Linked DNA regions of Struthio camelus. The protein of the gene in region 1 interacts with the protein of each later gene in a pairwise test. Links are inferred from orthologs where the notes say so. Each region holds a gene or a part of one and is shown on either strand. Other genes may lie near its edges.

Evidence for each region.
Region 2: the proteins of SATB1 (region 1) and TOPORS interact in a two-hybrid assay, tested with the Homo sapiens proteins (2 studies listed by BioGRID and IntAct). The link is inferred for Struthio camelus from reciprocal best matches to the Homo sapiens genes SATB1 and TOPORS.

Annotation. Positions count from the first base shown.
Region 1 is NC_090943.1:42,031,990-42,040,191, forward strand, and holds the start of SATB1 (DNA-binding protein SATB1), read right to left. Parts: upstream 3,105-8,202; 5' UTR 2,721-3,104; coding exon of another isoform or gene 2,717-2,720; intron 589-2,716; exon of another isoform or gene 358-588; intron 1-357. UniProt on the Homo sapiens protein: Crucial silencing factor contributing to the initiation of X inactivation mediated by Xist RNA that occurs during embryogenesis and in lymphoma.
Region 2 is NC_090982.1:18,068,599-18,076,349, reverse strand, and holds the start of TOPORS (E3 ubiquitin-protein ligase Topors), read right to left. Parts: upstream 3,082-7,751; 5' UTR 2,980-3,081; intron 1,617-2,979; 5' UTR 1,614-1,616; coding exon 1-1,613. Other genes in the region: sperm-associated antigen 4 protein-like, read right to left, coding at 5,279-5,446, 6,317-6,406, 6,751-6,918, 7,273-7,385. UniProt on the Homo sapiens protein: Functions as an E3 ubiquitin-protein ligase and as an E3 SUMO1-protein ligase. Probable tumor suppressor involved in cell growth, cell proliferation and apoptosis that regulates p53/TP53 stability through ubiquitin-dependent degradation.

The DNA.
Region 1 (8,202 bases):
TATTTCCTCCATTTTAAATTCATAAATCTGCTTTTAATGACATTTTTTCAATATACTGCAATCTATTTTGTTAATAAATAGAGGAATCTGCTTGGCTTTTTCTCCAAATACAGCTGGAAACCTTAAGAAGGACTTCAAATTTATCTATGACACTCAGATTAAAAAACAGGTGACAATAGAAGTACTTCTAAAAATTGAGTAGCTGACACAATATTTGATTGTTAAAACATTTGTTTTTTCAAGAACGCCAAAATACCCCAGCTTCATTTTCTAAACTGCAGTCGCACGCTTCTAAACCCCTCTCCACCCAAAACCAGAAATGCAGCGTAAGTTGGTGCGCGTTCAAGACTTTCCTACCCTCCAGATGCTGTTGCGACGAAGGGGTGAGTGTGCCCACGTTCCCCGGAGGATTTGGCGTTCGGGCACCCGTCGGATGCTTACGGGGCAGCGGATGGCACCATTTGGGAGTCCCAAAAGAGCTGCAGCAATCAAGGCAGGTGCCGCCCGGCTGACCTCTGGGGCCTACGCTGCAGAGCCCAATGGGACCCTCCTCAAATGCAGATTTGGGCTGCTGAGATAGATCCTCTCTGTTTCTCTCTCGCGCAAAACAGCATGTGCCATTAGTGAGCCACAGACCGACTTTTATCTGCTTTATAGCTTTCTCAGGGGTACGGAGCAGGTTAGGATTTATGCATATCGCTAAAATAACAGGAGTCCAGAAACAGAAACTGTGATAGTTACTTTCCTATTTAAAGCATCAACAAGAAAGAGTCTAAAAAGGAAACTGCTACTTTTTTAAAGTGTACGCACAAAAAGCATTCCATTTAAATATTTTTTGTTCCAGTAAACTCTTTTGCATACAAAGGACTTATTTATTACATATTTGAACTTGTGGGAAAAAGAGAAGGAATGCACTGATTCCTGAAATAACTCTACAGGCTTTTTGGAAACTTTACTCTTGTTCTTGTTCTACTCAGAATAGTCTTATTCCAGGGAAGGAGGAATTCCTTGGAGCCAGTTGTTTCTTTTCCACTAGCTGTTTGTATTCAAGAGTGGGCATATATAGCATATTAACCAACGATTTTAATTTTTCTTCTATTGCCTTATAATGTGTGTGTGCTATCTGTTCAGATGCACACTTACACTTGCACACGTTACCTCTTCTGCTTGCTCTTTTTGTTACCTACTCTACGTGATTACACATTTCTGCACAAATCATTACTTCGACTTGAAAAGCAAGGTAATACCAACAACAATCTGAAATGGAAAATGAAATGGAAAATGAGCGTATGCGTAAATGTATTAAAAAGCATATAGGAACACGGGATTGAAAAGAGCACTCTAAAATTCTACAAACAGTGCTGCAGAGTAATGAGATGATACAAATTACAGAGAACATCCTACATTCATGCCTTTACACTCTATGCTTACTGTTGCAAGTTGTTTTTTGAATAGTGCGCCTGATTTGACACATTTCTATCTAGTGAGTGTGTTAAATGCTTGAAGAGATAGTGAAATATCCAAGCATTCCTTGTGCTAACTAAAGTTGAAATTTTACACTTATTGTAACCTTTTCTAACAATGTGAGAAAAACAGAGTAAATATATTAAATTTGTTTCACAACAGATGCTTAGGTTGTTAATATTTAAGATGCCTATTCATGCTATTCCTGTCTGCACATTTGTCAAAAATGTAAGCTTGAATGCTAATGTTTGCCAGCAGACTACAGCAGACAAATATATGAATGTACTATACCAAAATAATATAAAGTAGAAATAAGGGACGGCTGCTAACTCACACCCAAGAAGCAGGGACTGCAAGGAAAGGGTCCTGCTAGATCATACGCCTTAGAGTCTGTGAATCTGAATTTGTGAGTTATTTTCACGGAAGCACCGCACTCCGTTGGAGCGAACAAAAACCGATGGCGAGCTTTCGTCATTTTAAACGCATTTCAGCTTAGGAGCTGGTGCGAAGTGTTTCAGCGAACTTGCGTTTTAGCGAAGTTTCTCCAGCAGGCAGCGAAGCCTGGAGCCTGGCAAAGGAAAACTTAAAACCGGGCAGGTGCCGCCTGTCAGGAGCGCTCCGCCCGGGCAGCGGCCGGAGACGCCGGCAAAAGGACGGCGACGGGGGCACAACCTCGGGCGGCGGTTTTGCCGGCGGAGCGGAAAAAATCAGAATAAAAGCGCGGAGCACGGACGGGGTTGTGGGGGAGGCGCTGGGGCTGCTGCGGCCCCCCGCACCTCCGCACCGCACCGCGCCGCGCCGCGGGGGAGCGCGCAGCTCCGCGCTGGCGCCCGGCGGCCTCGCCGCGCCCGCGGCCCACGACGGCTCCCTCCCCCCCTCCCGCCTTCCTCGCCCCGCGCTCTCCCGGGCGCCGCCGGCCGCGGTGCCCCGCGTCGGGGAGGCGCGCGGGGCCGCGCGAGAAGTTTGCCAAACTTTTCGGACGGCTCGTGGTTTTTTTTTTTTTTTTGTCCTCCCTCTCGCCCCCGCGGGGCGGCGGCGGCAGGTGCGCGGCCGGGCGGCGGGCGGGCAGCGGCGCCCCGTCGCGGAGCCTCCCCGCCGTCCCCCGCGCTGCCGGCGCCGGCCCTGCGCGCCCGCGCCCGCCTCCGCGGCTTGTGCCCCCCGCGCTGCGCTGCCCCGTCTGCCCCCCCCCATTCCCCCCCCACCTCCTTCCCTCCCTCCCCCCAGAGAGGCCGAGGAGCGGGGAGCGACTCACGCATGGGAGCGCGGCGGGCGAGGCCGGCGACACCTCCGGCTTCCGAGGCGCCGGCGAAGTTAATTGCACTGAAGTTCAAGTTGTCTGTTCACCCATCGGGAGTGGGCGTTTAAAGGAAGGAGAGCGAGGAGGAGGAGGGGGAGGGGGGAAGGGGGAGAGTCTCTCTCTCTCTCTCTCTCTCTCTCTCTCTCTCTCTCTCTCTGTGTCTCTCTCTGTGTCTCTCTCTCGCGCACACACACACACACACACGCACACACACGCACACGCACACGCGCGCACGCACACGCGCGCCTGCCCGCTCGGCTCCCCTCCCGAGCTGCCTGAGCGAGGAGGAGCCCGGACGGAAAACACCAGGGCAGCAGGTACCGGCGTGGGGCAGCTCTGCCTGCGCGCGCGTGTGCGTGTGTGCGCGCTCCCCTCCCGGCCGCCGCGCACGGCGCCCTCGGGCGGGGTGCGGTGCCCCCGGGGGAGGGGGCGGCGGTGCCGTCGGGGCAGCGCGGGCGCGGGGAGCCTGGGTTGGGGCGGGGGGGGGGGGCTGCGCGCCGCCCTGCGCGGCAGCGGAGTGGGGGGCGAGCCGCGTTTTTGTGTGTGTGTGTGTGGTGCCTCCTCCTCTCTGCTCGCTGACTCGGTGGGAGTGCGAGAGGTGGGGGGTGTGTGTGTGTGTGTGTGTCCCCGCCGCCCCCTCCGCCGCGCAGGGAGCCAGGTAGGACACACACACACACACACACACACACACACAGAGCAGCGAGAAAGGTCGGAGCCCCCCGCGGAGCACCGCGGCCCCACCGCTTTCCCTTCCCTCCTTCCTCCCTCCGCTGCTTCATTCCCGCCCGCGGCTGCCCCCGCGGGAAGGCCGCGCCGGCGGGGCCGTTTCGGGCCGGGATGGCACCGCGCTGCTGCGGCGAGCGGCGGCGGCGCAGGACCGGCTCTGACGGCGCGCAGCTCCGCGGCCGCGCAGGCGGCGGGGGGCTGCGGGGCGAGGGCCGGCAGCCTGCGGAGGGGCCGCGCCGCGGTGGTGGCGACCCGCCCGAGCCGGGCGGCAGCGGGGCCGCGCCGTCGGGGCCGGCAGCGGCAGCGGGGCCGGGTGCCGCCGCGCTTCACCCGCGGTTCCCTCGCCTGATGTTTCACCTGGCACGACGTGCTCCACAGTACCGCTGTTTCGGAATTCTCTTTTTTTTTTTTCCGTTTAATTTCTCCTTGGGGAGGGACTTTTTCCTCTGTTCTTTTGTTTTTAAGACCTTCCTTCCCTTCTTCGCTGATGCACAGTTTGGAAGTGGAGTTCCTGGAGAGTGAACCTGGCAGTGAGGGCAGGTTTCCCTGAAAGCTGAGGCTGTTTCTTATTCCCTAGGAGCCTGAGAAGAGAGGGGACCCTGGATGTCAGCCCGATCTCCTTTTTTATTTATTTTGACTTTGTGGCAGATTTCATCTTTCAGCTCTGGGAATTGACAAATGCAATTCATGTAGGCACCTTTACATGTCTTACAAACAAGACTGACACTGTGAAGTTGATACGTCAACACTTTTCCTAGTAAACCAGTGGTATGCTCTTCTATTAATTGGTATTAGAAAGTGCAGCCTTGTAACACAGTTATTGAATAATCATTAATCCACGGAGGATACACAAGCCCAAAGGTTAATAATGGTAATAACAATTAATAATATTGACTTTGCTGGCAGGAAGAATACTTTCTCATAGTTATTATGAGGCACTCCCATTTATAAATTTGGCCCCAATACATTGGCTACCAAGTTACTGCAGCAGCAGTAGAAGTTAATTTAGCCTGTTATCTCCATGTTATTTGGCCTCTATATTTTTCTCCCTTTAAAATGTATCATGCACTGGCTGATTTTAAATAGAAATGCCAAGCCTTTAATCAATTCTGACATTTCCACTAGAAAACAATACCTAGCTCTGTTACGCAGATAAAAATTTCTTTGCATGTAGTGTTTTGGACCTGTTCATTTCTTGGAGAGGGCTTAGCTTTTTACGATCTTTAGGTAGTATGGGATGCTAAAAAGAAAGTGCAATGGGAACTTTCACACTTTTACAAGTACAGCTAACCATTCCTTAGAGCTTCCTCCTCACTGACTGACTGGTTGTCACGTTTTCTGTAGTCAAAGACCCATCTCCTGTATTTGTATCACACTCTTCTGCCTGGTTGGTCATTGAATCCTAATAGTAATCATGTTTCATGTCTCAGAAATCCAATCATCAAGTTATTCAATCTTATAAATTGCAACTAAGCTATTTGGGTTAGTCATGTTATTCCCACTTTAGAGTCAGGGAAACTGAAACAGGAAAATTTAATACATTTTGACTGAGGCCACACATGGATTGAAGAGTAGATCCAGGACTGGAACTGAATTATGGATTTAGATCATGCTACCACTTAAAGACGCCAAAGTACACTACGGAAAATGCCTCTTTAAGAAAGAATTCTAATATAAACCTTTTTTTTCCCCAATGATTTTATGTATTAATGAAAATACAAATTTTTGAGGTCACATTTCCTTTTCTACATAAAATATTTATCCAGATTTTTAGAAAACGTAGTGATACCTTTGAACTTCACAGGCAGTTTACTTTGGAAAGAAGAAACTTAATATGAGATTGTGTGCAGTAATGGAATCAGAATTGCTTATTATTAGGTGATGGTAAACAATATTCACTGGATGTCATGGGGTAATTACAGGCCAACAAAATATACTGTGAAGTTCAGTATTAGTATAGATAAGGTGCTATTGCTTACCTAGTGTGCACTGGTTTTCACTCTAATGCTTCGACAGTGCTTTCAGTATGAAAATAATTAGCATAGGTCTAAACATTGGAAAACATTCAGGATAACTATATATTGTGTTTGAAAGTTATGATTTATATCATTAAGCAGTGTGTTTTATAAAGTTGTCATTCATGTCAATGAAGCAAGTATACTGCCTGCCCTTTAGTTGTGGCATGCCATCAAAGCTATATTATGGTATGACTGAGCACAGATGGCATGCCTAAAAAAGCAGGTGTACAATGTAACTTTCCTATTACTGACACGTTGAAATTTCCTCTTCCTCAATGTCCACCACAGATGTTTGCTTGCCCAGCCTTCTACAAGAACTGTAGAAAGTCGTACGCATCTGCTCATCCCTGAAGTCTGGAACTGTACAGCCAAAACTCTCTACAGAATATGTGTTCATATATTGTATTTATGCATGTATTTATGCTGACAGCTACATTTTATCACTGAGTTTTTTCAGAGTGCTGATTTGAGGAAAGTGGGTGCAGATCTCATTCAAGTAATCATCCTCCAATACCACTAGTGTTACCTGCCAAAAATGAAAGTGGCATATGAATCACAATAATCCACTCATTAATTTGTGGATTCAGAGCCTGCCAAGGAACATCAGAAATCCACGTGATGTCCCTGAGTTTTAGGGACTTTGAAAGATGTGTAAAAGTGCATTTATCCAAAGACTGTCTTATTGATGACTTATCTTACTGATAAGGGCTACTGACATAACCTAAAGACCACAAGAACTGAAAATATTTATGTCCAAATCTTTCCCTTCCAGGCGGAATAGTGAAAGTGGTGAATCTGCCAACTGTAGCTATGTCGGAGGCCCTTCCTGAGGTGCCTCTTCTTGAGTGCTACTGTGACCTAGTGACTTGGAGATACACTTTTACTTAAGAAGAGCTATCGGATCCTCTGTGAAATATCACAGATGCTTTCTGATTCTTTCAGATATGCATATATCTTTATGCTTACACCTGAGCAGAGAGGGGTGGGGAGGGGAGCAGAGCAGGGAGTAGAGTGGGGTTAAGAGCATCCACATAGATCCTGCAAACAAATAAATACATGTATATTTTCTTTATCTGATGTTACTTGGTGCTTGAAATGGAATGATCAATATTAAGAAGAAATACTTCATTATTGTGTGCATACTTGAGAGTTATGTTGGTTGATAGAGAAGGCCATTTTCTGCCTGTCATTACAGATATTCAACAGACCTGTAACTCTGATCTGTCTTACACAAACCACACATCTCTCAATGACAAAAACTCTCAGTAATGCTCAGATACTGATATCATTCCCAAGTATATGTACCTAATCAAGTATGGCTTATTTTCAGCTCCTAGTATATTGCTAATGCTACAGTAGTGAAAAACAGTATGCGCTACCTACCACTTCTTATGATTCCTTGCTTTCTTTATGATTTACTTTAAGCTAAGCACGCCAGAAACTGAAAATAACATTTGAGCCTTTTCTCCTCTGACATAGGAAAACAACTGCCTAATTTCTGTAATCTGTTCATATGTTAGTACTTCTGAAACAAAGCAAAAAGCCTGCTCGCTATGACAAGGTCTGCCCATAGCTGTCTCAGCAGCTTAATGAAATGTTAAGGCCTGGTTTAAGTAACTACGCTCCAAATGTTATTAGTGTTATCTGTTGTAGATGAAAATGGCAGTGAACAACACAACCACACAGGAGTGGCCCTATGTGTGTATTGTATATCAAGTAACCGTGATAAGCTTTTTCAAAACCTTATTTGATTTTTGATCTCGATGGTGGCTCAGTGGAAGAGACTCAAATGACTTTTTCTGAACATGGCTGCAACTTTCACTGCGTCTCTGTAGTCACTTGACTATCTTTCTGAACATGTTGGTTAGCATTGTCCTCCTCTGCTTAGGTCTAAGCTACCTCACTATCTGAATGTCTTTCCTGAAAATTCATTCACTGAAAGGGGAATCATATGGATAATAGCAAATTCATCTGACCTTTTCCAGACTGACTTGATTTTCCTCCACTCCTTCACTGAGTGTTCATGTTTTCAGGCCCAGGACCTCAGTCCATTCAGCTTCTCTCTGAGGTGATAACTACTAGAGATGCTCCACATCTTCCTACAGAAGATCTTATTACCTAAATAAGTAAACTGCATCCTGTAGATACCTTCGTAAAACTTCTGCTTTACAGAAGAGAGAATGAACTTGTTACAGATGCATGAGTGACATCAAACGTGCTTCTGTTTTGCCTGATTGCCCTCTCAGCCTTCTGACAATCTGAAACTTTCATTTTGGAAGGGACTGAAGGAGTTGTGTTAATATTTGTATTTGTGTAACCACTTTTCCTGTACATTATCTGCCCTTCTCTGCTCTTCCCCTTTGGTGTCTGGTTTGTCTTGGCTGCTTTTTAAAGTTCTGTTGCCTCTAATGAGTGACTGTTAGATTAAACCAGTGAGGAGAAACCAGGTGACTGTCTCTACTTTTACAAATACAGGTTATGTATAATAAATTCAGATTTTACATCTATGCAAATTAAATCATCATATGATTCTGACTGCATGCATTTTTTATCAAATATGGCATATATTTCACAGGTTATATTTAACTTATACACATGTTGCTATTCTGAATACCTAACTAGAGGTTACAAGGTGTGCCACTAGATCTTAGTAACTAGGCTTATGAAACAAGAAGAAATACTAGAAAATCATCCTTT
Region 2 (7,751 bases), on another chromosome or scaffold:
CTTTTGGACTTTCTCTTTCTGGACAGTCTGTGATTACAAGGAGAGCACATCCTGTCCCTTCCTGAAGAGGGGCTCCAGATCAATTCCTGTGGAGATAAATTTTTTATTTTACTTTTGTCCTCATCCTCTTTTGACTCCATCTTCTCGGCTGCAGGGGATGAGCAGCTTTTACAGCTACCTAGGTTCTCGTTATACATAGGAGAGTGTGGTGAGGAACTCGGGCTTTGTTCACTGTCACTGCAACTGTGAAACTGGATTGGCTGCTGTTTCTTGATATTTTCCCTTTTCTCTTCCTTGACTGATTCCTCAGAGTCCGAAGACAACTCAACCAGTTCTGGTGTCCTCTCAGCTATAGGCTTAACATACCCAACAATAACACAATTGTCTGAAGAAGAGTCACTGTCATTGGAACCAGCATTAGCCTGTATCTGGGTTTGCACTGCAGTTCTCTTTGTTGCAGAGTCCTCATCAGAACTTTCTGAAGTCTCCAAAGGAGAAGCTATGGTTGCATGAACCTCTTCTGAGATGGAATATGAGGGCCCTGGAGTTTCATCATCCCACGGAGCTTGATCAATACCAGTCACGGATGAACTGTGATCTGGACCTTGAGAATCTGCTTCATCCGGAGATATTGTAATAATTGATGAGTCTGAGTGGCTTCCTTCATCGTACGATGGAGCAGGACAGTCATAATTGGCATGCTGATCATACGCCTCTAAATTAAAAGGACACCGGGCAAAACTGACAAATTCATGTAGGAAATGTTCAGTCCGATTCAGCAAAAACGGCTTTAAATCATCAGCAAAGGCCTGGCTTTCCAGATCATACCTTGTCACATTACTCATGATGATATGCTGTACAATATTAACTAAAGATCCGTGGGCACCAAATAGGACTGTAAGTTCCCGCTTCAACCAGGGAACCAACCTGTGAAGGCAAGCAGGGTTCCGGCGAAAAAACTCTGCTGAAATATCTCGATAGCGGCCACCATCCTGAATACTACGAACACGCACACCAGTGCGATACAGAGCTCTGCGGAAGTTGATCATGTCCTCCTCCTGAATCTGCCGCAGAGATCTGCCTTCTGCACTAGCCTGCCTCCTTGAGGCGAGCCTCCTTATCATCTGCTGAATCTCTCCATCTCTCTGCCGCACTGGTTGGCTTGATAACCCTTCAAACAATATTCCATTATCTGGAGGGGACAGCGTCCTTCGGGAAGAGGAAGTGTGTCGATGGTAAGATGAGGTGCGACGTTCCCTTGTCAACGTAGTACGATAACGAAATCTCCGGCCATCAGGACTGGCAAAAGAGCCATTTTCTGATGGTCGGAGTATGTACTCTTTAAAGTCATCCTCAGCACGAACTGTATGGAAAATAGAATGAAAAGGTTGTTTGCAGAGTGGGCATTCTGCTTTGTTTTTTGACCACTCCTGGACACAACGGAAACAAAACTTATGCAAGCAACGATCTAGATACGCAACATTGTCGAATCTATCCAAACAGATCGGGCATTTAGAGTCAGGAGATGCATCTGTTGGCACTGTCTGATGCAGCTTGCTTGTGCTAGCTTTCGGTGAAAAGTTGCTATCCACTGCAAACTCTGCTGAAGTCATGTTCTACAAAAGACAAACACAAAAAGATCATTACCTTCCTGAGAGGAAAGGATGTGAATATCTAGACAAAGAAACCTCTGCTATCCTTCTTTTAGTTTGTAAAAAACATAAGGTCGATATGGTGTCAAACAAAAAACCACAATGATATAACTACTTTTTCTGGCCTCTCCTCAGGCTACTGCTTCCCTCAAGAAGTTAGATGTCACGGTTAAATTTTTTCCCAAGATAGAGAGAAGAAGGCATGACCCTGAAAATTGACCAGGCTTAGGAACTGCAGTTCTAGAAATCCTGCTCTGCCCATTGAAGAAAACTAAGCTATCTTCCCTAGCAAGAGCACAACTGTCCTCTCTGTTTTTCAGTGGAAGTTCTCATTTGCACCACCACCTCTTTTAGAGGAAGGCAGAAGCCTGTGCTACCAGGTATTCAGCGCTCCTAAAATAGCTATTAACTTATGGAGGTGGACATACCAGAAACCTCAGCAACTGATCAGTACTGGCCCCCAAAACACTGATATTCTTCCCATTCTTAGACATTCAGTCCTGACACTGGTGTTTGTTCTTCTCATTTAGAAAGGCCCACTGTTTTGCTTTTCAACTCTACATTCTTCTTTTACTAATGACACCTTTTCCCCACTGTACTGTTTTGCTCTTTCTTTGCTGCAGACTCTGTCTACAAAGCTCTTCAGGGATGAAGCACATGGGTAACTGACTGGCACTGTATCTTTGGGGCAGTTCTCCTGGCAGTCAGCGCTGGAGTATTCTATTCTGCTGGAAGGTCTCTACAGAGTAAGATGCATCAAAAATGAACAGGAAAAGCAACAGACACACTTAGTAAGATTTATGGTTGGTAGGTAGAAGTAGACAGTCAGATAAAGCAGCCCCCGAAATACATACAAAAGATCACTAGCAGCATGCCTGCACTAAGTTCTTTAGTCTGTACTGTTACAGCAAATTATGATTTTTGTGGAAACCATGAAGATATTCTTGCCAATTGAAACTAATACATGAATTGCTGCGATTTAACTCATGCACATATCAACAGATAATTTTTAAAATACGGAAGCAATTCCAGGCCTCCCTCCCTCTGCCACCACAACCAGAATCTAAAGCGCTGCAAGTTTTTACTGGGACTTGAAACATGCCGGCATTTCCGAAGACTCCAGGCAGGACTCCCTCTCCCTCCCTCCTCACACTTCAGCGACGGTTTCCTCATTCTTTCCCAACAACGTTCTCATTAACAAGGGATCCCGCGGCACACCTGTCCCAAAGAGACGGATTCGCACCTCCCCGCCTCCCCCCGCCGACCGCAGCGCCCCGCGCGCCAACCCCCGGTCCGGTCCGGCCCGGCCCGGCCCGGCCGCACTCACCGCCGCCGGGGCCTCCTCGGCCGCCCGCCGCCGCGGGCCCCGGGCCGCAGCCGCGGCCGCCGCATTCAGCCGCTGGCGCCGCGGGCAGTGGCCGGCAGCCTCCCGGCGCGGGTCCCCCGCGGGGTGGCGGCGGCGGCCGCTCTCGCCCAGGCGGCGCCGCGGCTCGGACATGGGCGGCGGCGGCGGCGGCGGCGGCAGCGCGTTGCCCCGGGGACCCCGCCGCCAGCGAGGCAGCGCCGGGCGCTGCGCAGCCCCGGGCCGGAAGACGGGCGCCGCCGCGGCAGCGTCACTTCCGGCGCGCGGGGGCCGCCGGCGCCGACATCTTGTCGGCGGGCGGGAGCGGCGGGGGCCGGGCCGGGCCGGGGCTCCCGCTTGGCGTCGCTTGCCAGCGGCCGGGATCAGGGACTGGGCGTCTTCGCGCCCCCGCTGCCCGGCGGGACGCGGCGGAGCGAGGCCGCTTGGTGCAGCAGCTGTCTGCGCCGCGCCTGAGCGCCGGGGCCGCGCGGGCAGCAGCAGGACCGGCCGCGCTGGGCCGCCGCGGCAGAGGCCGAGAGAGGCCCCTTAGGCTGCCTCGGCCCCGAGGAGGCGGCTGCGGGGGGTTCCAGCGCCGTGCCTGCCCGCTGGAGACACGCGCGAGGGGTCTTCGGGGTCTGCACGGCCTTTGCGGCCTGGCCAAACACGGGCAGCTGTCGTTGGCCGGCGTACGGCGGCACCCGTCTTCCCTTTGCTGCGTTTGCCAGCGTTCCCTTCCTGGCGGGCGGCTGCTCCCTTTCCCCAAACTGTCCCTCTGTCTGTGTGTGCAGAGGACGACTGGCCAGAGAGCAGCCCGCTGGTGCGCAGGGAATGCTGCCTCTGCTGTGCTAATTCGCGGCCTCTCCTCCTACAGCTGTCCCGCGAGGTGGTGACGCACAGGCTGTTGGCCGAGCAGCAAGAAGAGCTCAGGAGGTGTTGGCGTGGCACCAAGCGTGCCGAGCTCGTGGCCTGTGCTGAAGCCAGTACAAACTGCACCTGAAGGCCAAAGCCAAGAGAGTGTTTTCTAGGACTGAGCAGGGACGAGGAGCGTGCGGGAGCACGGAGGGGAGCAGTAAGGGCTGTCACTTAGAGGACTGTTCTACAGCCGCAGGAGGAATTTGACTGGAGGGTTAGGCTGTGCTGCATTCCTGAGAGGGCTGCGACGTCTGTTGTGTCCGGGTCGGAAGAAAGAGGATGGAGAGTCTTCTGTCAACCAGCTTTATTGCTAGCTGGGATGTGAGCAGATCCTGCATCGCTTTGCTGAAGGAGGAAATGAAGGTTTCATCCGCAGCGATGCCCCCCAGGTTCTTCCTTCAGAAGTGGCTGGAGCGATTCCTCTGGTCTCTGAAGTGCCTTGGCCCAGGTGCAGTCGGACAAAGCGTGGCCAGTGTCCTCTCGTGTACACAGCTGGCACCAGCAGTGCCAGGTTTCCACCAGCACTTCAGCTTCCCTGAGTGTCGAGCACAAGCAGCAGAGCACGAACCACAGGGGAAAGCTTCAGCTGCCGCGGAGCGCAGGCGCTGGCGCTGGCGCGCTCTGTGCGCACTTCTGCGGAGGGAGAAGCCTCTGCCTTGGCTGCGGGGGCGGCGAAGGGAAGCGACCGCCCGTGCTCTTGCTTTGGGAGAGCTGCCTAGCAGTGCCGAGCACCTCCTTGCAGAGGTGCTCCGCTCCCCGCACCCCGCACAAACGTGCTCCTTTCCTCCCCAAGTCCGGCCCCTCTTCTGGCTGTAGTTTGCGCAGCTGGAGGAGCTGGGCAAGGCTTGCTGGGAATCGCGGGGAATTTGACTGCACGGGAGAGTGTGGCGCTTTGTGAGAGGGGGCGGCCGATACACAGAGCTGCCTTTACGGTGGTGCCGCCATCAGCGTGGTGCTGGCGAGGCTGCCGTTAGGGCACAGCTGCCGTTGACACTAGGGTTGCTGTTAGGTGGGGCTGCTGTTACCCCGGGTCTGCCGAGACCCTGGGGCTGCCGTTATCCCGGCTTTTCTGTCTTCCCCTGCCCTGCTGCTCTCCCAGGCTGCTGTGTAAAACTATGGGCCGTGCTGTTTCCCCGGACCATGGGGTGGCCCCTGCCTGCCCTTCCCCACCTTGCTCTTACCCTGGGTCCTTGCTGTGTACCCCGGTCCTGTCGCTACCACGGCCTCTGCCAGCACCCCGGGCCGGGCCGGGCCGGGCCGGGCCGGGCCGGGCCGGGCCGGGGAGCTGCCTTGGGGCTGCCCTTCCCCCAGGGCTCCTGTGCTGCTGGACGCTGCCATTAGCCTGGGCCTGCCTGTTCTTGTGTTCATGTCTTTAATTCTTATTGAGGAGGGGTCGCAGGCTGTCTCTGGGTTCCTGAGATGAGGTCTGGCTTGCCACCTTCCCGTGCACCTGCACTCGATAAATGCAGGTGTACTCCGGGTTCCCCCAGTTGCTCTGGACAAAAAGCTTTATATATTGAAAGGCTCTGGACAGCTCCTCCTGCAGAGACGTCGTGGGAAGAAGAAACGTGGTTAGTGGGGTGCAAAGAGGGACAGTACACCGCAGGGCCCTCCCTCTGCCAGCCCTGGCCCTGTTAAGGGCCAAGCTGTGGCCCTGGTTGAGGTGGACAGCTTGTCTCTCCCTCTTCCCCTCTGCAGCGAGGGCTGCAAAGGACGGCTCTGGGCGTGTGCGTGGCCTCCGAGAGTGGGTGAAAGCAGCTGTGGCCGTGTGAGGCGGGCTGCCAGCAGGACTGCCAGGAACACAGGGAAAGTCCTGCTGCGGAGGGAAGGCGCCTGCGTCCTGCCTGCCACCGCCTGCCCTGGCTGGGCTCGGTCCCCGTTGCTGCTGCCCCTTCCCGCTGCTGCTTCCTGTGTGCTAGCAGAGAGGCTGGTGCGGGGCTGCCGCACGTGGGGCAGCTGGGTGATCAACCCCTCCAAACAGCCGGTTCCTCCTCGGCTGGCCTTCCCGGCAGGAGCGAGAGCCCAGGGAAGCCGTCCACCCTGCTGCCAGGTGCTGCCGCAGCTCGATGGAGCTGCCGTCTGGCTTTCGCTGCCCGATGTCTGTCTTTCCGTCCGGCACGCAGGCTTCGTGCTGATGGAAAGGCCCCGCGTGCAACCAGCTTTGCTGAAAGCCACAGGTGCAGCCTGGGAGCTCCAGGGTCCTGCACTCCCATGGGCGCGACCCTGCCCTCGCTCTTGTTTTGCTGCCACCGCTGCGCACTGCTTGGTGCGCCTTCAGACCCCGCTGTGCCTCGGCTGTGGGTCTGGCCCCTCTGCCCCCCGGGGAGGAACTGTGGATGCTCTTTCTGCCACGGACGTGCGGGCACAGCCACGTTCCTGCCTGGTCTCTGCCCACACGCACTTACTGTACCTTCAGGGGGAAGGTCTGAAGGGCCTCTTTTCCCACGTCGTAGGTGAATGTCCCAAGGAGAGTTTCTTCTTCTCCCTCCTCGTCCACTCCCTGAGAGACAAAGCACAAGGGTCAGGCTCCGCCTGAGGACGGGGAAACGCACGCGCTGGATCCGGACCTGTTACCCGCCGGCCCTCTCCCGTGGCTCGAGCGGTAGTGTAGTACAGGTTATGGTGTGAAGCTGAGACTCCTCCGTGAGGGGGGTTGACTGCCCTGAGATGCACGGCCAAAAAGCACCGAGCAGGTCTTGAGAAAAGCACCCCGTCCCTTGAAATATTCTCTTGGGGCAGTGCTTACGAGAGAGCAAGGCCCAAACCCCAGCGGATGCCCCAAGACAAGCGAGTGCCTGCTCTGCCTTTTCCCCACGGCCTCATTGCAGCCCAGCAGAGACTTACAGAGACAGTGAAATCCCGGGGGGCACTGCTGACGGTCCCAGATGGAGAGACTGCCTTGTAGATGTGCTGCACGGTGATGGCGGTTGGTTGTATCCGTGCAGGCAGCCAAATGACCACCTGGCCCTGCGACCCTTGGAAAGGCCAGCACTGTCCCGGGGAAACGTCCGGCTGAAAGCAGAGTGCCACAGCAGTGAATGGTGAGGGAGCGAGGCAGGCCACCTCCGCCACCTCCCAGCCCCTCTGAAAAGGGCCTGTCGGAGGTGAGGTAGGCAAATGGGCCTCGAAGGAGAAACTCCCTCAGCCAGCTATGACCAGGGATTGTGGGCAGGATGCGGCCACTCAGTTCCGTTCGGTTGAGTCCTGCTCCTGAGGGAGACTAGCAAGTCAACCCTCTGGTGTCAGGAACCTGATCACCGCCAGGCCCTTGAGCAACCCTGCTGGCCAGAGGGGAGATCCCCTGGGCTTTGTCACCCACTGCCCAGGAAGGAACTGAAGCAGCATGGATGACTTCTGCTACAATACCTGCAAAATAGTATCTGGAGGGTTTGGAGAGTAGAAGCACCAAAAAGCCCTGCAGAGCCAACTCTCTTCCCACGCATAGCTGCTGGATGTTCTCTGCAGATCGATGGTGGCACCTGAAGGGGAGACGGAGCTGCTGACTGCAAGACCCCACAGACGTGGTGCTTGCAGGGCATTTCCAACTCTGCCTGCCTGCCAGCTGTGTCTGTCACTGCCACGCTCAGCACCCCACGTGCTGGTGCCTAGGTGCCCCTCCAGGGCAAAGAGGGCTCCCTGGGCCTGGCCACTGCTTGTCTCTCGCAGCGGCAGGAAAAGACAGCCCTGCAGGTGCTGGCAGACAGCAAAGCCGCGTGGGAGCGACGGCAGAGCAAAGCGCAGGTCTTGCTGCCCGGACAGCAGAGCACAATGCAGCCATTCCCTTTTGGTCGAGAGGAAGACTCAGTGGAGAGGAAGAGAGCCTCTCCAGCAGCACAGAAAGTTTG